Linked DNA regions of Anolis sagrei. The protein of the gene in region 1 interacts with the protein of each later gene in a biochemical or structural test. Links are inferred from orthologs where the notes say so. Each region holds a gene or a part of one and is shown in the gene's direction. Other genes may lie near its edges.

Region 1 (6,969 bases):
GAGCGGAGGCCGGTTGTAAAGGTGAGCGGAGCGCGCGCGCGCGCCATCCGGCTCGGGCTCCTGCGCCCCCCTCCTCCTCCTCCTCCTCCTCCCAGCTGTGTTGCAGGAAGTGCTACGAGGAGGAGGAGGAGGAGGACGCAGGAGCCCGAGCCGGATGGCGCGCGCGCGCGCTCCGCTCACCTTTACAACCGGCCTCCGCTCCTGCTGTTAGCCCTGCGCGCCATCCGGCTCGGGCTCCTGCGCCCTCCTCCTCCTCCTCCTCCTCCTCCTCGTAGCACTTCCTGCAACACAGCTGGTAGGAGGAGGAGGAGGAGGTGAGCGCGGGTGAGCGCGCGCGCACCATCCAATCGGCTCCTGCCACGGTGCTGCTGGGGTGCTTGGGAGCGCCTGATTGGTTCCCAGGCACCAGCACATGACCACAGCACTGAAGTCAGCACAGCAGCCGCCATTGCATTTACGAGATGAGCTGAAGCTCGTAAAAAAAATGGGGCTGCTGTTTCGATATTTTCAAACCCTTCCGGGTTTGAAAATATGTTTTGATATCGCTTCGTTTTTAAAAAAAATAACGATTAAAATACGAAAAACGAATTAACGATACAAAACTGACAGGCCTACTATCTATCTATCTACCTACCTACCTTTGAATCCCTATCTAGCATACCTCTTTATTCCTCTCTATATACACAGACATATATCTAACACTCTTATTTCTCTCTCTTGATATCTATCTATCTATCTATCTATCTATCTATCATCTACCGTTTATCTCTCTCTGGATCCCTATCTAGTGCACTTCTTTATTTCTATTAGATACATATCTAACACCGTTTCTTAGTTCTCTATCTATCTATCTATCTATCTCTGGATCCCTATCTAACACACTTCTTTATTCCTGTCTATATACACAGCTACATATCTAACACACTTCCTTATTTCTCTCCCTTGATATATACCTATCCTTCTATCTATCTACCTTTTCTCTCTCTCTGGGTACTTATCTAGTTCACTGTTTTATTTCCCTTTAGATACATATCTAACACTGTTTTTTATTTCTCTCTCTCTCTTTCTTTCTTTCTATCTAACTATCTATCTCTGGATCCCTAACACACTTCTTTATTCCTCTCTATATATGGTACATATCTAACACCCTTATTTCTCTCTTTTGATATCTATCTATCTATCTATCTATCTACCTATCTATCTACCTTTTCTCTCTCTCTGGATCCCTATCTAGTGCACTTCTTTATTTCTATTAGATACATATCTAACACCATTTCTTAGTTCTCTCTGTCTCTCTCTCTACCTTTTCTCTCTCTCTGGATCCCTACCAAGTGCATTTCTTTATTTCAATTAGATACATATCTAACACTTTTTCTTAGTTCTATCTATCTATCTCTGTATCTATCTATCTATCTCTGGATTCCTATCTAACACACTTCTTTCTTCCTCTCTATATACACAGATACATATCTAACACCCTTCCTTGTTTTTCTCTCTAGTTATATACCTATCTATCTAGCTACCTTTTCTTTCTCTCTGGATCCCTTTTTGGTACACTTCTTTATTTCTGTTAGATACATATTCAACACTGTTTCTTAGTTCTCTCTCTCTCTCTGGATCCCTATCTAACACACTTCTTTATTCCTCTCTATATACACAGATACATATCTAACACCATTCCTTATTTCTCTCTCTTGATATCTATCTATCTATCTACCTACCTACCTACCTACCTACCTACCTTTTCTTTCTCTCTAGATCCTATTTAGTACACTTCTTTATTTCTGTTAGATACATATCTAACACCATTTCTTATTTTTCTATCTATCTGTTTGTCTCTGGATCCCTAACTAACACACTTCTTTATTCCTCTCTATATACACAGATACATATCTAACACCCTTCCTTATTTCTCTCCCTTGAAATATACCTTATATCTATCTACTTTCTCTCTCTCTCTGGATCCCTATCTAGTACACGTCTTTATTTCTGTTAAGATACATATCTAACACCATTTCTTATTTCTTTCTCTTGATATCTATCTACCTTTTCTCTCTCTCTGGATCCCTATACAGTACACTTCTTTATTCCTGTTAGATACGTATCTAACACAGTTTCTTATTTCTCTCTCTTTCTGTCTAACTATCTATCTCTGGATCCCATCTAACACGCTTCTTTATTCCTCTCTATATACACAGATACATATCTAACACCCTTCCTTATTTCTCTCCCTTGATATATACCTATCCTTCTATCTATTTACCTTTTCCCCCTCTCTGGATCCCTATCTAGTACACTGTTTTATTTCCTTTAGATACATATCTAACACTGTTTTTTATTTCACTCTTTTTCTATCTAACTATCTATCTCTGGATCCCTTCTAACACTTCTTTATTCCTCTCTTTATACACAGATACATATCTAACACCCTTATCTCTCTCTTTTGAATATATACCTATCTACCTACTTACCTACCTATCTTTTCTCTCTCTGAATCCCTACATAGTGCAATTCTTTATTTCTATTAGATATATATCCAACACCATTTCTTAGAGCTCTCTCTCTCTTCCTCTTATCTCTCTCTGGATCATTATCTAATACACTTCTTTATTTCTATTAGATACATATCTAATACTGTTTCTTAGTCCTCTCTATCTATCTGTCTCTGGATTCCTATCTAACACACTTCTTTCTTCCTCTCTATATACACAGATACATATCTAACGCCCTTCCTTATTTCTCTCTTTAGATATATACCTATCTATCTAGCTACCTTTTCTTTCTCTCTGGATCCCTATTTAGTACACTTCTTTATTTCTGTTACGATACATATCTAACCATTTCTTAGTTCTATCTATCTCTGGATTCCTATCTAACACCCTTCTTTCTTCCTCTCTATATACACAGATACATATCTAACACCCTTCCTTATTTCTCTCTGTAGATATATACCTACCTATCTATCTAGCTACCTTTTCTTTCTCTCGCGATCCCTATTTAGTACACTTCTTTATTTCTGTTACGATACATATCTAACCATTTCTTAGTTCTATCTATCTCTGGATTCCTATCTAACACCCTTCTTTCTTCCTCTCTATATACACAGATACATATCTAACACCCTTCCTTATTTCTCTCTCTAGATATATACCTACCTATCTAGCTAGCTATCTTTTCTTTCTCTCTCGATCCCTATTTAGTACACTTCTTTATTTCTGTTACGATACATATCTAACCATTTCTTAGTTCTATCTATCTCTGGATTCCTATCTAACACCCTTCTTTCTTCCTCTCTATATACACAGATACATATCTAACACCCTTCCTTATTTCTCTCTGTAGATATATACCTACTTATCTATCTAGCTACCTTTTCTTTCTCTCTCGATCCCTATTTAGTACACTTCTTTATTTCTGTTACGATACATATCTAACCATTTCTTAGTTCTATCTATCTCTGGATTCCTATCTAACACCCTTCTTTCTTCCTCTCTATATACACAGATACATATCTAACACCCTTATTTCTCTCTCTAGCTATATACCTATCTATCTATCTACCTTTTCTTTCTCTCTGGATCTCTATTTAGTACATTTCTTTATTTATATTAGATATCTAACACCATTTCTTAGTTATCTCTGTCTATCTCTGGATCCCCTACCTAACATACTTCTTTATTCCTCTCTATATACACAGATACATATCTAACACCCTTCCCTACCTACCTACCTACCTATTATTATTATTTCGGATCTATCTATCTATCTATCTATCTATCTATCATTTATCTATCTATCCTCTCTCTCTCTCTGGATTCCTATCTAGCCCTCTTCTTTACTTCTCCCTCTCCCTTTTCCCCTTCCCCAGGGCCAACCCACCCAATGAATGGAGCGGGGGGTTTCGCGCTTTGCCGCCTTTTTGGCCCGGGCGACCCTCCTTCCCTCCTTTCTGCCTCCCTCCCAGGGCGGACCACCCAGCCTCGCGCCCGGCCCTGGAGAAACCCGGGCAGAGCGAGGCAGAGAGAAGGAAGGCGCAGCAGCCATGGCGGGTGTGTGAATTGCAATGAGTGCCTGGGAGGGGGAAAGAGGACGGGCGACAGAGGCGGCGGCGCCTTTGACGGAAGGAATCGGCGGCTTCCCTCCTTTCCCTTCCCTTCCCTTCCCCTCCCTTTTTTTTCTTGAATGAACCGTGAGGTGGGGCTAAGAAGCAAGGCGCTCCCCTCCTCCGTCTCCTCCCCCTCGGGCTGCAGCCACATTCAGAGAGAGAGAGAGGCAGAGGGAGAGGGGGGACCGACCGGCCTCCCCAGCAGCACAGGAAAAGGAGGAGCAGGAGGCCGCTGGGCATTGGGGTAGTGGAGGGGTAGTAGTAGTAGTAATAGTAGTGAAGGGCATTGGGGAAAAAGCAGGAGGAGGGAAGGGAAGCAGTCAAGACCCGCCCCATTCTCCCCCTCCTTTGCCTTATGGGATATTTAAAAAGGCAAAGAAGGGGAACCCTCCAACTACTTTCTTTTTGAGTTCTGCAGTCCAGAGTTTTCAATCAGTCCAGACTGGGAGATCTTGAGCTGCTGAATGGAGACCCCGCAGCACCACCACGCTGCCCTGGGAAGCTCTCTCCCTCATTCAAAAAGCCTGCCTTGAACTATGCCTTTCCCGGATCCTTTGGCTCCTTTCTGCTTCTGCTTCTTCTCGCCTTGTTGGTGGTTCATCCCACCGCCGGCTTGGCTTCCCTGTCCTGAAAGTTAGGAGGCCGGCTTTCTGAGTTTTGACATCTCCTTGGAAATGTCACTCAAACAGGAGCCTTGGAAGCGTTTTTGGAAATCCCAACAGTCCTAAAGAGGTTGAAAGCTGCTTTTCCATCTTTTGCTTTTTCTGGTTTGGACTCCTCCAAAAGACCCTTTTGCATTTTCCCCTCATGATGTTTTTTCGGTTCTATTTTCCAGTAAGGAAACTTCACAGAAAATGATATTTCTCATCCAAGTAAGTATCTTAAATTGGTGGGATACTTTGAGTAACTTAATGTTATTATAAAGAAAAGAGGGGAAAATCCACTGGGGACTTTGAGGCCTCTTCCACACAGCTGTATCAAATCCACTTTGAACTGGATTATTTGGCAGTGTGGACTCAGATAACCCAGTTCAAAGCAGATAGTGTGGAATTTTTCTGCCTTGATATTCTGGATTATTTGGCTGTCTTGGAGGGCACTGAGATATGTAAGGCACCTTCTACACAGCTGTATCAATTCTGCATTGAACTGGATTATGTGCCAGTGTGGATTCAGATAACCCAGTTCAAAGCAGGTATTGTGGGATTTTCTGCCTTGATAGTCTGGGTTATATGGCTGTGTTGAAGGACCCTGAGATTTGTAAATCCCCTTCCACACAGCTGTATCAAATCCACATTGAACTGAATTATAAGATAACCCAGTTCAAAGCAGATATTGTGGGATTATTCTGCCTTGATATTCTGGGATATAGGGCTGTGTGGAAGGGCACCGAGATATGTAAGGCCCCTTCCACACAGCTGTATCAAATCCACATTGAATTGGATCATATGGCAGTGTGGACTCAATTCAAACCCAATTCAAAGTAGATATTGTGGGGTTTTCTGCCTTGATATTCTGGGTTGTATGGCTGTGTGGAAGGGCCCTGAGTTGAATGTGCTTTGCATGCATTTGCATTGGAGGTTGCTCAGCGTAGTAAATCATTTGGAATGGCAGGGTTTGGTGTTTTGTTTTTCTCTTGGGGAAACCATGTGTGTGCGTGTGTGTACACCATCCTCTTCATTCATGTCCTAGCTCAGAAGGAAGGGAGGGGGAAAGTGCACCTGATGTCAAATAAGTGTCTGTTTTTCTTATTTTAGTTGCATTTCTGCACGAAGGAAGGAAGGCTTCTGAAAACAGACTTCTCATGATAAATATTACCTGTGGAATACAGTATTGGCTGCCTTTGAAATCTGCTTTCCATCGTGGATCACAAACTGAAGAGGAAACGCTGGGAAGGCGGAAATACCTTTGAGACCCCGAGGACTCCCCCACACCTCAACCAATGGAACTGCATGGAGTGAAACAACTGGATTATATATAAACACCGGCACTTATTATTACTGGCTGCTTTTTTCCCCCCTCTGGGTCGGTGGGGGACATTTCATCTGCTTCTGTGTCTTTTTTTCCACCACCCTCATCCTACCGCTTATTGTCCACCATGGCTCATCCTGGGATAAGAGGTTACGATAACAGGGAAATCGTGCTGAGGTACATCCATTACAAGCTGTCGCAGAAAGGATATGACTGGGTTGCCAGTGGAGACAGAGGAAACCTTGCTGCTGCTGCTGCTCCTGCTGCTCCAACTGTGCCAGCATCTCTTTCTCCAGAGCTGCCCAATTCTGCTCCTGTGAGTACCAATGCCCCCGAGGAAGAACCGGACCGGGTGCCACAGGTTGTCCACACAACGTTACGCCAAGCCGGAGACGAGTTCTCCCGGCGCTATCGGAGGGACTTTGCTCAAATGTCTGGCCAGCTGCATTTGACCCCCAGCACTGCCAGAAGTCGTTTTGTGGCCGTGGTGGAAGAGCTCTTTCAAGACGGAGTGAACTGGGGGAGGATTGTGGCATTCTTTGAATTTGGTGGCCTGTTGTGCGTGGAGAGTGTCAGCCGGGAGATGTCCCCCCTTGTGGACAATATTGCTGTGTGGATGACAGAGTATCTGAACCAGTACCTGCACAACTGGATCCAGGAGAACGGAGGCTGGGTAGGTGGCCATTGTGTCTTTTTTTGTTTCAAGGTCATACATCACTGAAATGCCCATTCCGGTGTCATGAATGACTTGCGTGACCAGTGGTTCCCAGTGTGGTGTCACTTGTTTAGTTGTTTCAAGGGTGTTTTGCTTATTCCGAACAAGTTATTATAGATAGCAGCCACCTAATATTGATGTCTTAACACTAAACACCCGTCTTATACGTTCGCACTTCCCA
Region 2 (7,843 bases), on another chromosome or scaffold:
TTATGTGATCCCTTTTGATGGAGGTCAGAAAAGGGGGAGGGAAGAGATATGTTGGCCCACATAGCTTTAATATTTGCATTACAAAGGGATTTTACTCACTTTAAGCTTCATGTGCAAAAATGCAATCTTTGTAAAACTGCAGACGTTTGGAACAAGCCTGGATTTGGGAGATTAGTGCAAAATAAGAATCTCGTGATCTTGGAAGGTCGCCGCCAGTCCTCCTCTTGGCTGGGTCCACTCTCAGAGCCCTTCCACACAGCCATATCACCCAGAATATCAAGGCAGAATAAACCACAATATCTGCTTTGAACTGGAATATCTGAGTCCACACTTCCATATATCCCAGTTCAAAGCAGATAATGTGGAGTTTTATTCAGCTGTGTGGAAAGGGCTTCAGAAAAAACACATAAGATAATAACCTCTCTTTCCCAACAGTCACTAGAGTATATTTAAAGGCACAGGTGGCAGTCCTGCCCATATTTTTCCCCATCCAACCAGCCGCTCTTACCTCTGTTTACTAAGGGTGTATCTACACTACGGAATTAATGCAGTTTGACACCACTTGAACTGCCATGCCTGGGATCTGTGGATTGGTAAATTACCAACACTCTTTGGCAGAGAAGGCTAAAGAACTTGTCAGAATACAACTCCTAGGCCCTTTCCACACAATAAAATAAATAAAATCCCACATTATCTGCTTTGAACTGGAATATATGGCAGTGTGGACTCAGATAACCCAGATCAAAAAGGATATTATGCGATTTTCTGCCTTAATATTCTGGGTTATATGGCTGTGTGTGTGGAAGGAACCAAAGCACTGAGTCATGGCAAAGTGGTGTCACGCTGCATTAATTCTACAGTGTAGATGCACTGGGGGGGGGGGGATACTAGATTGAGTTTAATGGCATTCAAAACAGCAGCCTCACAACACAATCCCAGTACCTTTACAGAGAAGTAGAATAGCAGTAGTGTACCATATGTCTTAAGTGCTTAATGGTCAACATTATACACAGTTTTTTGGAAGGAAGCCCAGTTGGACTCACTGAGATTAATGACACATTGGACTGTACTTCCTGTCTGCATTAAAAATACTTTTCAACCTGCGTTTCCTATACTCAGAGATAAGCCTCGCAGCACTGAATGCCACTGACTCCCAAGCGCGGGGGGGGGGGGGGGGGTTTGAGGTTTGCAGCCATGTACTTTTGGGGTGTGTGTGCTATAATCATAATAATATACTTTATTTATATTACACTCTATCTCCCCGAGAGGACTCAGAGTAGATTACAGTACACATATACGGAAAACATTCAGTGCCATTATACAATTAACACAGACAGACAGGACATAAACAGAGGTAAAGGCTTCCCATTTTTTTCCATCTCCAGCATCTGGAGGCTGTGCTTGACACCGGCCATGGGAGGTGCTGTTGCTCCATCTTCCATTCTGAGGAGCTTTGTTGTCTTTAGACGCTCTCCCAATTGAACTGCTGGCATGTCCGCATGGCGTCATTTATTACCTCCCCGCCAAAGCGGTACCTATTTATCTACTCACATTACTGTTTTTGAACTGCTAGGTGAGTGGAAGCTGGGCTGATGGTTGGGAGCTCTCCCTAACCCAAGCTTGAAGAAGTCCAGGAGGTCACAACCGGCAAGATTTTCTGTGGCTGGTGGTTTAACCCGCTGTGCTAAAGCCCAGGTTGTTGTTGCATGCCTTCCAGTCGTTTTCAACCAATGGTGACCCCATCATATTATTCTGTGTTTGTATATTTTAATATATATTTTATAGAAATACAATTTAATATATATCTTTTATAGAAATATATCTTAATGTGTGTGTGTGTGTTTATGTGTTTTGGAGCCCCTGGTGGTGTAGCGGGTTAAACCATGAGCTGCCAAACCTACTGGTGAAAGGTCCGCGTTTCGAATCCGCGGAGCAAGGGGAGCTCCTATTGTTAGCCCCAACTTCTGCCAACCTAGCAGTTTGAAAACATGCAAATGTGAGTAGATCAATAGGTAGCACTTCTGTGGGAAGGTAACAGCGCTTCATGCAGTCATGCCAGCCACATGACCTTGGAGGTGTCTATGGACAATGCTGGTTCTTCGGCTTAGAAATGGAGATGAGCATCAACCCCCAGAGTCAGAAACAACTAGACTTAATGTCAAGGGGAAACATTTACTTAACTTTTATGTGTTTTAATTATGCTGTAACTGCCTCGAGCCACAAGGAGAGGCGGGTAAGGAATTAAATTATTATTATCATCATCATCATAGGGGTTTCTTTGCAATATGTGCTCAGAGGAAGTTTGCCCTTGCCTTCCTCTGAGGCTGTGGGTCCTTCCAGATAGGTCCTTTATCCCAGGATCTGATCCCACATTTTTTGTTTATCCCAGATGATCTAGCAGTGTGGACTCATATAATCCAGTTTAAAACAGAAAACCTGGGATCAGATCCTGCGATATAGGGCCTGTCTGGAAGGGCCCTGAGAGAGAGAGAAACCACTTCTGAATATTGCTCTCCCAAGAAAACCCTATCAAAACTCAGTGGACAATAGGCAGCAAGTACTGGCTGCATCTACAGAAGGCATGGGCCAACTTCGGCCCTCCAGGTGTTTTGGACTCCAACAATTCCATACAGCCTATGATCTACAGTGTAAATGAATGCAGTTTGATACCACTTTAACTTGCAATGGCTCAGTATGTCAGATCCTGAGAGTTATTTATTTATTTATTTATTTATTTGCGACATTTATATGCCGCCCTTCTCAACCTGAAAGGGACTCAGAGCAGCTTATAAGATATATATACATTTTGTTGTTGTTCATTTGTTCAGTCGTCTCTGACTCTTCGTGACCTCATGGACCAGCCCACGCCAGTGCTCCCTGTCGGCCGTCACCAACCCCAGCTCCTTCAAGGTCAGTCCAGTCACTTCAAGGATGCCATCCATCCATCTTGCCCTTGGTCGGCCCCTCTTCCTTTTGCCTTCCACTTTCCCCAGCATAATTGTCTTCTCTAGGCTTTGCTGTCTCCTCATGATGTGGCCAAAGTACTTCATCTTGGCCTCTAGTATCCTTCCCTCCAGTGAGCAGTCGGGCTTTATTTCCTGGAGGATGGACTGGTTGGATCTTCTCTCAGTCCAAGGCACTCGCAGAACTTTCCTCCAACACCACAGCTCAAAAGCATCGATCTTCCTTCGCTCAGCCTTCCCTAAGGTCCAGCTCTCACATCCGTAGGTGACTACAGGGAATACCATGGCTTTGACTAGGCGGATCTTTGTTGCCAGTCTGATGTCTCTACTCTTTACTATTTTATCGAGACTGGACATTGCTCTCCTCCCAAGAAGTAAGCGTCTTCTGATTTCCTGGCCACAGTCTGTGTCTGCAGTAATCTTTGCACCTAGAAATACAAAGTCTGTCATGGCCTCCACATTTTCTTCCTCTATTTTCCAGTTGTCAATCAGAGTTGTTGCCATAATATACAATAGTATATTATTAGCATAGTACAGTATCAATATTATAAGGTAAAGGTAGTCCCCTGACATTAAGTCCAGTCATGTCTGTTCCTAGGCAAGACTTCTTTTAACACAGACTTTGGTACCAGAGGTAGACATAACATGGAAAGAACATGCTATATTTTAGCTGTATTTTAATACTCTCTACTATTTTATGACTGTGAGCCATCTTTAAGGTTCAAAAGGCATGTCACAAACCTCTTACATAGGTAAAGGTAAAGGTAGTCCCCTGACATTAAGTCCAGTCATGTCTGACTCTGGGGTGTGGTGCTCATCTCCATTTCTAAACCGAAGAGCCACCATTGTCCGTAGACACCTCCAAGGTCATGTGGCCAGCATGACTGCATGGAGCGCCGTTACCTTCCCCCCGGAGCGGTACCTATTGATCTACTCACATTTGCATGTTTTCGAACTGCTAGGTTGGCACAAGCTAGGGCTGACAGCGGAAGCTCACGCCGCTCCTCAGAATCGAACCTGCGACCTTTCGATCAACAAGCTCAGTAGCTCAGTGCTTTAACCCACTGCGCCACCCTATTATATATATTACTAATATATATAATATTATATATTATATATATAATATTATATATTACTAATATTGTACTACACCATTATATTGTAAATATTACATGTAATATAAAATATACAATTATAACATTGTATTAGTAGTAGTAGTGTTATATTGTATTCCATTATAATATTACCAATATTATATGTATATACAATATATTATATTATATTTTTAGTAAAGCACAGGAGACAAGATGGAACAAGTTGTCGTTTGCTGTCTCTCCAAATCGTTGCAATCCATAGCACTGAGCCTTGGCAGTGGAAGTGGGGTCAAACTGCATTCATTCCACAATGTAGATGCACTTACTGGCACGAGGGGATAGAAGGCACTTACCTTTTGTGATGGGCCATAAGAGAGGGGGGGGGGGGAGGGAGGGAAGGGGTTGGGTCCCTCTTAAAGGCGCCCCTTCCCTTTCCTCCACGCTTTCGCAGGAGGGAGGGGGCGAGGCCTCGGCTTCCGCTCGCCACAAGCCCGAAATAGGCTCGCCCGGCTCTGGCTGGATGGAGGCGGGGGCGGAGAGCCTCGCGCTTATTCCGCCGGGCGCGCGCCTGCCTATTTTTAGCCCCCATTGATGGCTGGGATTCCGACGACGTCAATGGAGCTCGGCGTTGACGTCACGGAGGCTGCTGGCCGGGCCCGGGAGAAAAGGGGCGGGGCTTGCGGGAAAGCACTCACTAAAGCGGCCGGCAAGGAGCGCGCGCTTGCAAAGAGCGCTGAGAGAGCAGCCGCAGAGGGAAGGATATCCACGAAGAGAGAGAGTGAGAGAGAAAGCGAGTAGCCACCGCGGGGGACGGGTCCCCGATGGCGCCCAGGCAGAGACGGAGCACCTCCAGCGCCCAACAGGTGAGCGCCATCCCCTGTTTTGATTGGCTAACCTTCCAAGGAATGAATGCAGTTTGACACCTCTGTAATTGCCACCACTCAATGATCTGGAATCCTGAGAGTTGTTAACTTGTAGAGGCACCAATATTCTTTGGCAGAGAAAGTTGGGAAACTACAAGTCCCAAGACCTATATAGTATTTAGCCATGGCAGTTCAAGTGCTCTCGGGTGGATCAAATCTGCAGTGTAGATGCAAGCCTTACTCTTCGGGACTTGAAGCCTTTAGCAGAGAAAGTTAAAGACCTTGGGAAACTACAATTCCCAAGACTGTATGGTATTGAACCATTACAGTTCAAGTGCTGTAAGGCTGGATTCAATCAACAGTGTAGATGCAAGCCTTACTCTTTAGGACTTGAAGGCAGAGTTTTTCTTTGACAGAGAAGGTTAAAGACCTTGGAAACTACAAATCCCAAGACTATATACTATTGAACCATGACAGTTCAAGTACTGTCAGGCTGGATCAAATCTGCAGTGTAGATGCAAGTTTTACTTTTTTGGGACTTGAAGCCAATTTTTCCATTTGGCAGAGAATGTTAGAGACCTTAGGAAACTACAAGTCCCAAGGCTGTATAGTATTGAACCATGGCAATTCAAGTGCTGTCAGGCTGGATCAAATCTACAGTGTTAGATGCAAGCTTTAATCATTGGGACTTGAAGCCAGTGCTTCCCTTTGGTAGAGAAAGTTAAAAACCTTGGGAAACGGCAAGTCCCAAGACTGTATAGTATTGAACTATGGGAGTTAAAGTGCTGTCAGGCTGGATCAGATCTACAGTGTAGATGCAAGCCTTACTTTTTCTGGGACTTGAAGCCAGTGTTTCTCTTTAGCAGAGAAGGTTAAAGACCTTGGGAAACTACAAATCCCAAAACTGCATAGTATTGAACCATGGCCACTCAAGTGCTTTCAGGCTGCAGATCAAGCCTTACTGTTTGTAACTTGAAGCCAGTGTTTCCCTTTAGCAGAGTTTTCTTGGGAAACTACAAGTCCCAAGACTGTATGTATAAATTTATTATTATTTATTAATGTATGATCTTTCTATCCCACCTTTCTCCATCCCAGATTTGACTCAAAGCAACTTTACACATAGGTGACTATTTGATGTCTTGAAACAATGGACAATTAAAATAAACTTTTAAAAATAGAATTATAAAACACATTAAGACAATTAAAAACATTTAAAACACTACAATAAACCCCTAAGAATTCATAATTTTGATTTTCTTTGTTTCTGTCTCCAGCTCCCATCTAAATAGTTTATAATGAGAGGGGGAATTAGCATTATTTTTCCAAACACCTAATCATTAAAAACAGTTAGACATGAGTTGCATATGAAATGGCGAACACAGGTGTTTATTAACATGTATCATAGCCATCATATAATGCAAACAGGTTTGCCAGTGTTCCGGTGGAATAGTATCTTAGTCCTTCTCCTCTCCATATGCTAAAGTGCATCTTCAAAACAATGTGAAGTTCTTTAAAGGAGAGGAGGGTGGAGGCTGTTTTTATTTCTTTAGGGAGGGAGTTCCAGAGACAGGGAGTGATCACAAAGAAGGTCCCCTCTCTCGTTCCCACCAACAGAGCTTGATTCAGGGGTGGGACCAAGAGCAGGGCCTCCTCCACTGACAGCAGTTCACAGGATGGTCTGTATAGGGAGATATGATTGGACAAATAGCCTGGACCCAAACCGTTTAGGGCTTTATAGGTAAATGGTGAGATTTGGGGGTGCACATAGTATCCCCTCCTTTACTAGATTCTATTGGCTTGTCTGTTGAATAAACATGCAGGACTAGGATCTGTGTTGGTTGGGAGTTGATCTCTCTCAACTACGGGAAAAGACTGGTGCTTTCTGCTATACCAGGCATGGGCAAACTTTGGCCCTCTGGGTGTTTTGGACTTCAACTCCCATAATTCCTAACAGCTGTTGAAGTCCAAAACACCTGGAGGGCTGAAGTTTGCCCATGCCTGCCCTAAACAGACATTAGACCTCTTCTAGGCGGTTATCCCTTTCTGTCTGGAATTTGCAAAGCCCAAGATGTTTTTAAAAAATATATTGGAAGAGTTTTCCAATCTAAATAGTTGAAAATGTTTTGCCTCCCACTCCTGTGTACAAATGGAAATGTTCAAGTACAGCTGGTTTTGTTCCTCTTCCATCAGAATTGTTCCTTGCGCCTGCCTTGGCATCAGGTAAAAATTGACCCATGTCTGGATGTTTTCCAAAGGTGGAAGCTGTGTGCCTCGGTTGGACCTGAAACAAGTGTTGCGGTTGACAGATTTCACACAGCACAATGTTTTGTGGAATATGATATGCCTCCTCAGATTCTCTGAATATTAATTGAAGCAAAGATGTGCAAGCTGTGGGTCACATGATAATCTATGAAGACTTTCGCATTTTGATCTTTCCCAGCTAAAAAACATACCAGATCACCACAAAAAAATCCCCCCTTAGGAACCATCTGTATTTGGACCGATTTTCAGAATCATAAAGGAGGTATCATTTTCAGTCATGTTGGGACTTGAGTCACCATATGGCTTCCATCCCTTCCACAGTTTCCCTCCTAGGATCTAGATCAGTGGTTCTCAACCTGTGGGTCCCCAGGTGTTTTGCCCTACAACTCCCAGAAATCCCAGCCCGTTTACCAGCTGTTAAGATTTCTGGGAGTTTAAGGCCAAAACATCTGGGGACCCACAGGTTGAGAACCACTGATCTAGAGCTTTGAGTATGATGCACACCCCACACACCTGTAAATATGCACCCACACACCCACATGTGCATACATGGCCAGAAGTCGGAAGTTGGAATTTAAGACCAAAGTGAATTTATATACATAATATACTGACAATAACAATTACATCTGTATTAACATTGCCCCTTCCCAGTATTGCATTC
Region 3 (7,771 bases), on another chromosome or scaffold:
ATGACCTTGGAGGTGTCTACGGACAACCCCGGCTCTTCGGCTTAGAAATGGAGATGAGCACCAACCCCCAGAGTCAGACATGACTGGACTTAATGTCAGGGGACAACCTTTACCTTACCTTTTAAGCTGCCTTGAGCCTCCTTTGGGGTAGAGAAAGGCGGGGTGTAGATAGCACCCCCGAAAGATGGCTATCCAACCTCTGTTTAAAAGCCTGGTAGCTTAATATACATGGACTTAGTTTCATGTGCAACAGTCTTCAGACTTATGTGTATAAGGTGTATATGAAACATCAATGTAAATACTGCATCTTAACTCTTGTAAAAAAAAATGGAACTATCCCTTTCTCTGAGTGGTGAAAGGTGACTCATTTTGGCTCTCCTACCTGCCTTTGACTTATACATTGAGTTTGACTTAGACTTATACCAAAGTACATATAGGCATATAAACAAATATAAAAGAAAAAGGAGAAAATATAATCATAGAATCATAGAGTTAGAAGAGACCTCATGGGCCATCCAGTCCAATTCCCTGCTAAGAAGCAGGAAAATTGAATTCAAAGCATCTCTGACAGATGGCCATCCAGCCTCTGTTTCAAAGCCCCCAAAGAAGGAGCCCCAGCCACACTCCGGGGCAGAGAGATCTTTTTCACATGCACTTCTGAAGATCTGGTATATATGTTGTGCATTGGCATAACGTTGTCCTTAACAGTTCAAAGAGATAACCAGGGATTTCAGTTTAACAGCTGAGAAGCCTAAATTGCCTTCTGTCAAGGGTATTTTGATTGTGCTTTTCCTGCATGGCAGAATGGGGTCAGACGAGATGGCCCATCGGATCTTAGAATCATAATCATAGAATCATAGAGTTGGAAGAGACCTCAAAACCATCCAGTGCCAAGCAGCAGGAAAATTGCATTCAAAGAGCATTCTCCCCATATTGCACTTTCCCCCAACTTATTGAAAGTTTAACTCCACTGTTCAGTCCTCTACGAGCTCCTTCCCTACAAATTGCACTTTTCATTGCTATCTCATCTAGTGTTTTATAATTTTATGTCAAACATCTGGCCTACCTATTGTGTTTGATTTTATATTATGTTATTTTATATTATTTATTTTATTTTATCGGTTTATTTTTACTGTGATGTTATTTTTTTGTTTATATTTTATGTTGCTGTATTGTATTGTACTGCTGTTGAAACATTCACACCTAGCTCCAACAGACAAGAGTCCTTTGTCCCACCTTGGTCATTCCACAGATGTATAAACCCTTTTTCCTAGTTCCAGCAGACCTCACTACCACTGAGGATGCTTGCCATAGATGCAGGCGAAACGTCAGGAGAAAATGCCTCTAGAACAGGGGTGCACAAACTTTTTAAACAGAGGGCCAGGTCACAGTCCCTCAAACTGGTGGAGGGCCGGATTATAATTTGGAAAAAAATGAATGAATTCCTATGCACACTGCATGTATCTTATTTGTAGTGCCGCATAGGGAAGCTGATGAGGAAACACAACATACAAACTATCTACAGACCCACCAAGAAAATCCAACAAATGCTACGTTCAGCAAAGGACAAAAGGGATCCTCTCACCTCTGCAGGAGTCTACCGTGTACCATGCAGCTGTGGACAAGTCTACATAGGGACCACCAAATGCAGCAGTATTGCCCAGACACGCATCAAGGAACATGAAAGGCACTGCAGACTACTTCAACCAGAGAAATCAGCCATAGCAGAGCACCTGATGAACCAACCTGGACACAGCATTTTATTTGAAAACACAGAAATGCTGGACCACTCTCATAACCACCATGTCAGACTACACAGAGAAGCTATTGAAATACACAAACATGTGGACAATTTCAACAGAAAGGAGGAAAGAATGAAAATGAACAAAATCTGGCTACCAGTATTAAAAAACTCTAAAATTGCAACAGCACAACAGAGGAAACAGGCAAGGACATCTACCTCTCAACAAAAGCTTGCCCCAGGCGCGGTCAGGCCATTGTATGCTAATCATGGTGGTCAGTTGGAACATTCACACCTAGCTCTAACAGAGAAGAGTCCTTTGTCTCACCCTGGTCATTCCACAGATATATAAACCCTTTTGCCTAGCTCCAACAGGCCTCACTACCTCTGAGGATGCTTGCCAAGTGCAGGCGAAACGTCAGGAGAGAATGCCTCTAGACCATGGCCATACAGCCCGAAAAAACCTACAACAACCCAGTGATTCCGGCCATGAAAGCCTTTGACAATACATTGGTGTGCACCCTCTGGGTTCGTCCGCTTAACCAATTACAGATCCACCTAACCGTAGTTTTGGCTAGCCCACATTGGACTAGTTTGCCAGAAGGTCATGGGGGACCTTGTTGAAGGCCTTACTGAAATCCACAGCATTCTCTGCACCTACCCAGCTTGTAACTCTAAATTGTAAGCCTAAATTGCCTTCTGTCAGGGGTGTTTTGACTGTGCTTTTCCTGCATGGCAGAATGGGGTCTCTTCCAACTCTATGATTCTATGACTTCTGTGCTCAGTAGCCCACAAACCTCACAAGGATTGCCCCTTGTGAAAGCCAACAAGCCCTTCCCAATAGGAAACCCCCTCCTTTCCAGCTGACAAGTCTTTGATTCTATGATTCTATAAGTCTGTATCTGTGTTGGCAGAAGAGGACCCTTCCCAAACTCCGCCCCTTCCCCAAGCTCCGCCCACAACCCCGCCCCCTGAGACACTCCATCGGGTCAGGCCCCGCCCACTCACTGTTCCCCAATGGCCATTTTGGCCCCGCCCCCGACGCACCTGAAAGAAGCTCCAAAGCCAAAAGCTCACATCCCTGACGCGACCGAGGCCTGCGCTGAGAGAGAGCGCTTCTTCCACTCAGCCCCACCGGAAGGCTCCTTTCCAACAGCCTCTAACGGCTCACTTCCGGGTGGGGCGTGGCTACGCGCTGACATAGGCTTTGCGTCCCTGGACGTGCCCTGCGTGGTTACCCTAGCAATGGTGGACCCGCCTGCGCTTTGCTTCCTACTCCGTTGGCTCCGCCCCCGCCGCATTTTCATTGGGGGATAAAAAGAGGGCTAAACCACGCCCTCTCTATGTTATGGGAATGCAATAACACAGATATTAGATTTATTCATTCATCGATTTTTTTGGATTGATATCCCGCTTCATCTTTTCAGAAAACAATAAAATAGTATTGCCATTTTTATATTATTATATATTATCAGCAGTAATATATTTCATATATTAGTGTTATATTGGTATTATATAGTATTATATTACATTATTAATATTATATGAATATATAATATATAATAATATTAGCATAGCACAATGTTAGTATTATATATTGTTATATTGTATTATTAATATTATATGAATATATAATATATGATGATATTAGCATAGCACAATATTAGTATTATATATTATTATAGTGTATTATTAATATTATATGAATATATAATATATGATGATATTAGCATAGCACAATATTAGTATTATATATTATTATAGTGTATTATTAATATTATATGAATATATAATATATGATAATATTAGCATAGCACAATATTAGTATTATATATTGTTATAGTGTATTATTAATATTATATGAATATGTAATATATGATATTATTAGCATAGCACAATATTAGTATTATGTATTATATCATATTATTATTAGTATTATAATGTATAATATTATTATTAATATTATATGTCAATATAAAATATTATATTATTCTTCCAGTTAAAGTATTACTTCATTCTCTCCACTGAGTCATCCTGAATACGCAGATTCATTTTAAAACCTCGGATCGGGGCAAAGGTCAGTTTGATGGGAACTGTAGTCTGTAAAGACCTTAAGGAAAAGCTGATGGGAACTGTTGCCTGTAAAGACACAAAGGAAAGCTTGATGTGAACTGTAGTCTGTAAAGACTTTAAGGAAAAGCTGATGTGAGCTGTAGTCTGTAAAGACCTTAAGGAAAAGCTGATGGGAACTGTAGCCTGTAAAGACACAAAGGGAAGGATGATGGGAACTGTAGTCTGTAAAGACACAAAGGAAAGCTTGATGTGAACTGTAGTCTGTAAAGACCTTAAGGAAAAGCTGATGGGAACTGTAGCCTGTAAGGACCCAAAAGGAAGGATGATGGGAACTGTAGTCTGTAAAGACATTCAGGAAAGGCTAATGGGAACTGTAATCCGAAAGGGTACAAAGGGAAGGATGATGGGAACCGTAGTCTGTAAAGTCAAAGGGAAGCTTGATGGGAACTGTAGTTTAAAGACACAAAGGGAAGGCTGGTGTGAACTGTAGTCCAAAAGGACATAAAGGCAGATTGGGACTGTAGTCTATAAAGACCCAAAGGGAAGACTAATGGGAACTGTAATCTGAAAAGACACAAAGGCTGATGGGAACTGTAATCTGAAATGACACAAAGTCTGATGGGAACTGTAGTCTGTAAAGAAATTAAGGAAAGGCTGATGGGAACTGTAATCCGAAAGGTCACAAAGTCAAGGCTGATGGGAACTGTAATCTGAAAAGACAGAGAGGCTGATGGGAAATGTAGTCTGTAAAGACATTAAGGAAAAGCTGGTGAGAACTGTAATCACAAAGAGAAGCCTGATGAGAACTGTAGTCTGAAAAGGCATAAGTAGAAAGCTGGTGGTAAATATACAGTCTGGGGATGGTCACTGTCCCTTTAAGAGGTTGCGCAATGGGGGTGTGCGGAGGTCAGGCTGGAGTGGCAGCTCTCGCAGCCTATCAGCCGCCTCCTCGGCCATCAGCTGATGGAAAGAGAGGCGGGACCAAGGAAGTGAGCAATTCCTGGGTCCAGGTGAGTGTTTTGCAAGCAGAGGAAAGTGAAGGGGGATTGGAGATTGGGGTAAAAGCCATGCCATTTCCTGCCCACCCTACTGCCTTTGCATTGCAATGGGTCGCTTCTCTCTTCTGCTTGCAATGGCTTGCAAGATGAGTGCAAGACATTCAGAATCTGGCTTCTCTCCTGCTTTTAATTTCTTCCTCCTTCCACCCAGCATAATGTCTACAGTCTTTAGGTTTCTCAATGTGTTTCAATCTCTGCCCTGTGTACTCCATATGCATTTGATAGAATTGGTATATTCTAGAACTAACATTTTAATACATGCGTTTATGGATTTTTTTTCTTGCAATGTTTGTGTGTTTTGACTGTGCCGTGAACCGCCATGAGGAAATCATAAAATTATTATTATTATTATTATTATTAAATAATATATTAGTAATATATACACTTTATATTATATGTATTTTATTCTATTATTCCTATTTTAATATTATATTTATATCCTCCTTTCTTCTCTTATAATAATAATGCTAATAATAATTGTATATTAGTAATATATACGCACACATAATATTATATGATATTAATTATATTTTATTTATTTAATTTTATTCTTATTAGTAATATTTGTATCCCACTACTCTTATTATTATTAAATTGTGTATTAGTAATATATGCACACTCATAATATTATATGATATTAATTCTATTTTATTTATTTTATTTTATTCTTATTAGTAATATTTGTATCCCACTTCTCCTATTATTATTAAATTGTATATTAGTAATATATGCACACCCATAATATTATATTAATTATATTTAATTTAATTTATTTTTATTAGTAATATTTTAGCACTATATTTATATCCCACATTCTTCTCTTATTATTATTATTATTATTAAATTGTATATTTATAATATATAAAATATCCTCAGAAGCACTTTAATTACCCGTTGGGTTGCTCTCTACTTTTGGTTTAATTACATCTGGCCCAGCCATAGGTTTTGAAATCATTGTGTGTTATTGTCTATGTGTGAGTTATATTAATTGTATTATTTATTTTGCTTATTGCTTGTTGTTTTTATCGATGTGTTGTTGGGATTGGCCTCATGTAAGCCACTCCAAGTCCCTTGGGGAGATGGTAGCGGGGTATAAATAAAGTTTTATTATTATTATTATTATTATTATTATACATATATTATATTGTTTTATATTAATTTTATGTCTATTAGTAATACTAGCTTGGGGACTCGGCGGTCCACGAGTTATTTGAAAAAAGCATTGTTTAATGTATTATCGAAGGCTTTCATGGCCGGAATCACTGAGTTGTAGGTTTTTTCGGGCTATATGGCCATGGTCTAGAGGCATTCTCCTGACGTTTCACCTGCATCTATAGCAAGCATCCTCAGAGGTAGTGAGGTCTGTTGGAACTAGGAAAAAGGGTTTATATATCTGTGGAATGACCAGGGTGAGACAAAGGACTCTTGTCTGTTGGAGCTAGGTGTGAATGTTTCAGCTGACCACCTTGATATAATGGCCTGACAGTGCCTGGAGCAAACTTTTGTTGAGAGGTGATTAGAAGTCCTTTTTTGTTTCCTCTCTGTTGTTGTTTGTTGGAGGCAAAACAGAACATCTAGGATGAATTCGTCTCTGAATGAAAGCTTTCCTTGGGTGTCGTGCAGTATGGTGTTTGGGGACGACATTGCCAGGGGTAGGGAAACATGTTCATAGTGCCCACTCTAACCTGGAATGTCAGTGGAGGGAGGGCAATCGGTGCTTCCTGCATAGTGGGAACTATAGCCTTTGTGGAGGCAGGAGGCTGTCTGTGTAACTGGACACCTCCACCACATACAGTCATACACATTTTCACTTTTATTATGTGTATAGATTAGTAATACACACACACACACACACACACACATAATATTATATTATACTAATTTTATTATTTTATTTTATGTAATGTTATTACTGGTTTCATGTTGTTGTATTTTCTTTTACTTATTACTAGCTTGGGTGCCTGGCATTGCCCATGTTATTTGAAAAAGTCAGTTTTGTAAATGTCCTAAATGCATAAAGTTGTGGGTGAACTACAACTCACATCATGCCAGGTTAACCCCGAGAAAGTCCATCAGTACTTCAAGTTTGCTATGTTTGCTCCGAGTTTCTCAACCTGGGGGTCGGGACCCCTGGGGGGGGGGTCGCGATGGGGTGTCAGAGGGAACGCCAAAGACCATCAGAAAACACAGTATTTTCTGTTGGTTGTGGGGGTTCTGTGTGGGAAATTTGGCCCGATTTTATTATTGGTGGAGTTCAGAATGCTCTTTGACTGTAGGTGAACTATACATCCCAGTAACTACAACTCGCATATGTCAAGGTCTATTTTCCCCCAAGAGCACCTCCATTTATTATTATTACATTTATTATTTTACTCTAATGATTATTATTACATTTATTATTTTGCTCTATTATTGTTATTATTACACTTATTATTTCACTCTATTATTATTACATTTATTATTTTACTGTATTATTGTTATTTTTTATTATATTTATTATTTTACTCTCTTTATTATTATTGGAAGTATACGAAAGCACATTTACACCGAAGAAGGTTAGAGTAATGGTTTAATCAGAGTTGGACAGCCTTATCCCCAAGCTCCACCAGTTTTATGCAAATATTTTACAAAAACAAATATGTAAAAATTACAGTTTTATGTAAATACTAGCTGTCCCCTGCCACGCGTTGCTGTGGCCCACATGGGGGTTCTGTGTGGGGGGTTTGGCCCAATTCTATCATTGGTGGGCTTCAGAATGCTCTCTGATTGTAGGTGAACTATAAATCCAAGCAACTACAACTCCCAAATGTCAAGGTCTGTTTTCCCCATGCTCCACCAGTATTCATATCAGGGCATATTGAGTATCCGTGCCATGCTTGGTCCAGACTCATCATTGTTT
Region 4 (6,910 bases), on another chromosome or scaffold:
TAACTGGTTTGGCTGCAGCTCCCTTGGACCCAACATCATACCTTCCCCTTTCTCACTTGGTACTATGGGAGGAAGAGGGCAAGAAGCCCTCCATTGCATCCTTTTGTGGCTTCCTTTGTGGCTTCCTGATCTAAAGCTACTTTCGTTTCATCATAGGGAGAAGTGGCACTGTAGAGCGGTGGTGCTCAACCTTCTTAATGCCACAATCTCTTCATACTCTTCCTCATGTTATGGTAACCCCCCAACCATAAAATTATTTTTGTTGCTAATTCATAACTGTCGTTTTGCTGCTGTTATGAATCGTAATGTAAATATCTGGTATGCAGGATGTATTTTCATTCACTGGACCAAATTTGGCACAAATATCCAATGCGCCCAAATTTTAATACTGGTGGGGTTGGGGAGGGATTGATTTTGTCATATGGGAGTTGTAGTTGCTGGGATTTATAGTCCACCTACAATCAAAGAGCATTTCGAACTCTACCAGCAATGGCATTGAGTCAAACTTGGCATACAGAACTCCCATGACCAATAGAAAATACTGGAAGGGTCTGGTGGGTACTGACCTTGCGTTTTGGAGTTGTAGTTCATCTACATCCAGAGAGCACTGTGAACTCAAACAATGATAGGTCTGGACCAAACTTGGCATGAATTCGCAATATGCCCAAATGTGAATATTGATGGAGTTTGGGAAAATAGACCTTGACATTTGGGAGTTGTAGTTGCTGGGATTCATAGTCCACCTACAATCAAAGAGCATTCTGAACTCTATCAGCAATGGAATTGAGTCAAACTTGGCACACAGAACTCCCATGACCAACAGAAAATTCTGGAAGGGTTTGTTGGGCATTGACCTTGAGTTTTGGAATTGTAGTTCACCTACATTCAGAGAGCACTGTGGACTCAAACAATGATGGATCTGGACCAAACTTGGCATGAATTCGCAATATGCCCAAATGTGAACACTGATGGAGTTTGGGGAAAATAGACATTGACATTTGGGAGTTATAGTTGCTGGGATTTATAGTTCACCTACAATCAAAGAGCATTCTGAACACTACCAATGATTGAATTGGGCCAAACTCCCCACACAGAACCTCCATGATCAACAGAAAATACTGTGTTTTCTGATGGTCTTTGGTGACCCCTCTGACACCCCCTCGCAACCCCCCTGGGGTTCCGACCCCCTCCAGGTTGGGAAACACTGCTGTAGAATCAATGTAGTTTGAGCTCCTTCCAATTGCCATGGCTCAAGGCTATGGAATCTTGGGATCTGTAGTTTCCTGAGGTGCCAGCACTCTTGGACAGAGATTAAAACCCCTGAAAGCTGTAACTCCCATACAGCCAGAGCAATTAAATGAGTATCAAACTGCATTGATTCTACGATGCCAGCATGGCTTATGATGAAAGTAATTTGGATTTTGGGAAGCACAATTTGGGTTTCTGAGCATTGCAGAGTTACAGAAAAAGAAATCGAAAATGGGAAGGAAGTTGAGGAGGGAGAAGAGGGCTGGCAAATCTCCCAGGATGCATCTTTGAAGAACAGCATTTCTCAACCTGGGGGCTGGGACCAAAGAGGGGGGGGTCATGAGGGAGATTCAGAGGGGTTGGTGTAGATTAGGCATGGACAAACTCTGGCCCTCCAGGTGTTTTGGACTTCAACTCCCATAATTCCTAACAGCTGGAAGACCCATGTTTGCCTGTGCCTGATGTATATGCACCTCCAATGCTGTGTTATCATAGGATTTGTAGTTTTACAAGGTCTTTATAGTCTTCTTTGCCAAAAAGTGCTGCCGACTCACCAAAATATAGGTCTAAATAGCTCAATGCTCTTAACAGCATTGAGCTATGGAATTGTCAATCTACATTATTTCTATCATGGGAGTTGTAGTTTTCCAAGGTCATCCAAGGAGTGCTGGTCCTCCAACAAACAACAATGTTCAGGGTTGTGTGGGTTTTCCGGGATGTATGTTCATGTTCCAGAAGCATTCTCTCCTGACGTTTCACCTGCATCTATAGCAGGCATCTGGTGTCTAGTTTGCCCACCCCTGGAACATGTAACATATCATTGTCCTTTCAAATCTATGATACTATATCTCTCTGTGTGTGAATTATATCTATCTATCTATCTATCTCTATGGCTGGATGGCTCTTTGTCATGAGGACTTTGATTATGTTTTCTTGTCCTGGTGAAAACATAATGATGGCCTTAAGTATTTTCTGTTGGTTATGGGGGTTTAGTGTGGGAAGTTTGCCCCAATTCTATCGCTTGTGGGGTTCATCATGATCTTTGATTGTAAGTGAACTGTGAATCCCAGCGATTAAAACTCTCAAATGTCAAGGTCTCTTTCCCCCAAACTCCATCTGTGTTCATATTTGGGTGTATTGAGTGCTTGTGCCAAGTTTGGTCCAGATTTATCATGGTTTGAGTCCACAGTGCTCTCCACAGGGAGGAGGGAGCAAGCTTGTTTTCTGCTTCCTTGGAGACTAGGACACGGAACAATGGCTTCAAACTACAAGAGAGGAGATTCCATCTCAACATGAGGAAGAACTTCCTGACTGTGAGAGCCGTTCAGCAGTGGAACTCTCTGCCCTGGAGTGTGGTGGAGGCTCCTTCTTTGGAAGCTTTTAAAAACAGGCTGGATGGCCATCTGTCAGGGGTGATTTGAATGCAATATTCCTGCTTCTTGGCAGGGGGTTGGACTGGATGGCCCATGAGGTCTCTTCCAACTCTTTGATTCTATGATTCTATGATTCTGGATGTAGGTGAACTACAACTCCCAAACTCAAGGTCAATGCCCACCAAACCCTTCCAGTATTTTCTGTTGGTCGTGGGAGTTCTGTGTGGCAAGTTTGGTTCAATTCCATCGCTGATGGAGTTCAGAATGCTCTTTGATTGTAGGTGAACTATAAATCCCAGCAACTACAACTCCCAAATGACAAAATCATAATTTTTTGAGTGATGGTCACTCCTTGTGTTGTGAGACGTTTAGTTGCCAAATTTGGTGTGATTCCGTTCATTGGTTCTTTTGTTTTTAAGGCACAGAGCATTTATAGAAAGATAGATAGAAAGATAGAAAGATAGATAGATAGATAAATAGATAGATAAATAGATAGATAGATAGATAGATAGATAGAAAGATAGATAGATAGAAAGAAAGAAAGAAAGAAAGATAGAAAGATAGATAGATAGATAGAAAGATAGAAAGATAGAAAGATAGATAGATAGATAGATAGAAAAATAGATAGAGAGAGAGATGATAGATAGATAGATAGATAGATAGATAGATAGATAGAAAAATAGATAGATAGATAGATAGAAAAATAGATAGATAGATAGATAGATAGAAAGATAGATAGATAGATAGAAAGAAAGAAAGATAGATAGATAGATAGAAAGATAGATAGATAGAAAGATAGATAGATAGATAGATAGATAGATAGAAAGATAGATAGAAAGATAGATAGATAGATAGAAAGAGAAAGATAGAAAGATAGATAGATAGATAGATAGAAAGATAGATAGATAGATAGATAGATAGAAAAATAGATAGATAGAGAGAGAGATGATAGATAGATAGATAGATAGATAGAAAAATAGATAGATAGATAGATAGATAGATAGATAGATAGAGATTCCTATCCAAACCCAAGTAACGAAGGTGGAGGCATTACTTTTCATTCAACCCTGGTACATTCATTCTGCAGTGTATGGATGGATAATTGGATCAGCTGGGGATTTTCAGGTCTCCTCCTCCTCCTCCAGCCGGCCGGCAACTTGCCCCCACTTGCCCAGGAGAACCCGGCTTCTGATTGGGCGGCGGGCCACCCGAGGGGGCGGGGATTCCTCGTTGACGTCACTGGGAAATCCCCCGGCACTTGCTTTGCCTTGGCGCGCCCGGCAGAGAAGCGGGCAAAACGAGTTGGGAAGGCGAGCGAGAAGGAAGCAGAGCTGGGCCAGAGGAGCCAAAGGAGACCAGCCATTCCTCCTCCTCTCTCTCGAAGCCGGCGGCAGACCAGGACCCACAGAAGGGACCAAAGCGAGATGATGCCGGGAAAAACTCTGCGCAAAGGCGCGCTCCCTACCTCTGCCTCCTCCACGCGGACAGGTAAGGGCGAAACTCCCCTCCTCCCTTGATTCCCTTCGGGTGATGTTGTTGTGCTGTCCTTGTGAGAAAGGCCCAAAAGGGGAACTCCTGGGATTGGGGGGATTGGGGAGAGGGCTTCCCTACCCTTCTGGGGCATCGACTCAATAGGTTCTGGGGTTAAGGGAGCCTCGCAAACACAGAAGGGGATCCCCAGATGTCATCTAGTCGGTCCCCTAGAAGGGCAAAGGAGCCTTCTCCCCTATTTCCCCATCTCTGCTGCTTGTCCTGAGCTCTCCCACTGCACTGGGGTCTCTCTCTTTTACAATTCTCTGGCTGTTGGGTTGCTGTGAGTTTTCCGGGCTGTATAATAATAATAGTTTTAGTAATAGTAATAATAATTATTATTATTTATTTATACCCCACCAACATCTCCCCAAAGGGGACTTGGAACATAACATAAATCCTAATAATAATAATAATAATAATTATTATTATTATTATTATTTATTTATTTATACCCCACCAACATCTTCCCAAAGGGAACTTGGAACTGCTAACATAAGGCCTAATTAATAATAATAATAATAATAATAATAATATATTTATTGATTTATACCCCACCAATATCTTCCCAAAGGGGACTTGGAACTGCTAACATAAGGCCTAATTAATAATAATAATAATAATAATAATAATAATATATTTATTTATTTATACCCCACCAACATCTCCCCAAAGGGGACCTGGAACGGCTAACATAAGGCCTAATAATAATAATAATAGTTATTATTATTATTATTATTGTTATTTATACCCTACCACCATCTCCCCAAAGGGGACTTGAAACGGCTAACATAAGTCCTAATAATAATAATAATAATAATAATTTATACACCACCATCTCCCCAAAGGGGACTTGGGATGGCTAACAAGAGGCCTAATAATAATAATAATAATAATAATAATAATAATAATACACAGTCCTAGATGCTTGGGAAGTGTTCAACTAGTGATTTTGTGATATGAAATCCAGCATATAGATCTCGTTTGCTGTGACATACTGTGCTTTTGTGTCAATAATAATAATAATTATTATTATTATTGTTATTGTTATTGTTATTAATACCCCACCACCATCTCCCCAAAGGGGACTTGGGAAGGCTAGCATGAGGACTAACAATAATAATAATAATAATAATAATAATAATAATTATTATTATTATTATTATTATTTATACCCCATCACCATTCCCCCAAAGGGGACTTGGGACAACTAACATGAGGTCTAATAATAATAATAATAATAATAATAATAATAATAATAATAATTTATCCCCCACCGCCATCTCTCCAAAGGGGACTTGGGTCAACTAGCATGAGGCCTTATTATTATTATTATTATTATTATTATTATTTACACCCCACCACCATCTTCCCAAAGGGGACTTGGGATGGCTATCCTCTATTCCATTGTCTAATTTCCTTAGTAATAGCCCTCATAACCCCTGAGGATGCTTGCCATAGATGTGGGTGAAACGTCAGGAGAGAATGCTTCTGGAACATGGCCATACAACCCAGCAATTGTTAAAACTTTGCCCATCTCTGGTGTTTGTCCTGAGCTCGCCCACTACACAGGGGGTCTCTCTTCAACAATTCTCTAGCTGTTGTTGTTGTTGTTACCACGTGGAGTTGTGGCTGAGTCATACTCTCTCCGCCAAGGAGAAAGGCAATAAATAAATCATGCCAAGACAACACCTTCATAAGGGAGCTAGAAAGCAGAAATGACCTGACTTGACCCATGTCTGATGCTCAATTTTTCCCCTCATATATTATCCACTACTCCATTGTCTAATTTCCTTAATAATAGCCCTCACAACTCCTGAGGATGCCTGCCATAGATGTGGGTGAAACGTCAGGAGAGAATGCTTCTGGAACATGACCATACAGCCTGGAAAACGCAAAGCAACTCAGTAACCCTATCTTCTCCTAGTCATTTATCCAAAATCTTACCTTCTCTAGAGGTAGTTTAAGGCTGGGTCTGCATTGACATATAATCCAGACTATAAACGCTGATGATCCACATTATCTGTTTTGAACTGGATTATAAGAAGCCCCTTCTACACTGGCATATAAAATCCAGATTATCTGCTTTGAACTGGATTATATGACAGTATAGACTCATATAATCCAGTTCAAAGCAGATAATGTGGATTATCTGCTTTGATAACCTGGATTATACGGCAGGGTAGAAGAGACCTGAGTCTACACTGCCATATAATCCAGTTCAAAGCAGATAATCTAGATTTTATACAACAGTGTAGATGGGATCTGAGGGCCCTCCACACAGCCATATAACCCAGAATATCAAGGCAGAATAACCCACAATATATGCTTTGAACTGAGTTATCTGAGTCCACACTGCCATATACCCCAGTTCAAAGCAGATAATCAGGGATTTTATTCATTTGTGTGGAGGGGTTATATGAGTGTGGACTCATATAACCATGTTCAAAGCAGATATTGAGGATTATTTGCCTTGATATTCTGGTTTATATGACTGTGTGGAAGGGCCCTGAGTCTACACTGTCATTTAATCCAGCTCAAAGCAGATAATCTGGGCTACAAATGATGTAAATAAATAAATAAACAAATTACCAGTATATAGCAGTGTAGAAGGGCCCTGAGTCTACACTGCCATATAATCAGCTCAAAGCAGATAATCTGGATTTTCTATGGCATTGTAGATGGGGCCTCAATCTGTTGTTGCTCTGGCGCATGCAGCTGGTAAATGGTATCCATTTAGCCTGAAACAAATGGCGCAC

Evidence for each region.
Region 2: the proteins of BCL2 (region 1) and NR4A1 form a complex in vitro, tested with the Homo sapiens proteins (2 studies listed by BioGRID). The link is inferred for Anolis sagrei from reciprocal best matches to the Homo sapiens genes BCL2 and NR4A1.
Region 3: the proteins of BCL2 (region 1) and FKBP8 form a complex in vitro, tested with the Homo sapiens proteins (4 studies listed by BioGRID, with this or other methods). The link is inferred for Anolis sagrei from reciprocal best matches to the Homo sapiens genes BCL2 and FKBP8.
Region 4: the proteins of BCL2 (region 1) and PMAIP1 interact in a biophysical measurement, tested with the Homo sapiens proteins (2 studies listed by BioGRID and IntAct, with this or other methods). The link is inferred for Anolis sagrei from reciprocal best matches to the Homo sapiens genes BCL2 and PMAIP1.

What each region holds. Positions count from the first base shown.
Region 1 is NC_090024.1:89,535,783-89,542,751, forward strand, and holds the start of BCL2 (apoptosis regulator Bcl-2), read left to right. Parts: upstream 1-3,969; 5' UTR 3,970-4,977; intron 4,978-5,859; 5' UTR 5,860-6,200; coding exon 6,201-6,746; intron 6,747-6,969. UniProt on the Homo sapiens protein: Suppresses apoptosis in a variety of cell systems including factor-dependent lymphohematopoietic and neural cells. Regulates cell death by controlling the mitochondrial membrane permeability. Appears to function in a feedback loop system with caspases.
Region 2 is NC_090022.1:139,197,706-139,205,548, reverse strand, and holds the start of NR4A1 (nuclear receptor subfamily 4immunitygroup A member 1), read left to right. Parts: upstream 1-4,818; 5' UTR 4,819-4,920; intron 4,921-7,843. UniProt on the Homo sapiens protein: Orphan nuclear receptor. Binds the NGFI-B response element (NBRE) 5'-AAAGGTCA-3'. Binds 9-cis-retinoic acid outside of its ligand-binding (NR LBD) domain.
Region 3 is NC_090034.1:50,953,232-50,961,002, forward strand, and holds the start of FKBP8 (peptidyl-prolyl cis-trans isomerase FKBP8), read left to right. Parts: upstream 1-4,746; 5' UTR 4,747-4,824; intron 4,825-4,829; exon of another isoform or gene 4,830-4,872; intron 4,873-7,771. UniProt on the Homo sapiens protein: Constitutively inactive PPiase, which becomes active when bound to calmodulin and calcium. Seems to act as a chaperone for BCL2, targets it to the mitochondria and modulates its phosphorylation state.
Region 4 is NC_090022.1:281,555,461-281,562,370, reverse strand, and holds the start of PMAIP1 (phorbol-12-myristate-13-acetate-induced protein 1), read left to right. Parts: upstream 1-3,885; 5' UTR 3,886-4,045; coding exon 4,046-4,109; intron 4,110-6,910. UniProt on the Homo sapiens protein: Promotes activation of caspases and apoptosis. Promotes mitochondrial membrane changes and efflux of apoptogenic proteins from the mitochondria. Contributes to p53/TP53-dependent apoptosis after radiation exposure. Promotes proteasomal degradation of MCL1.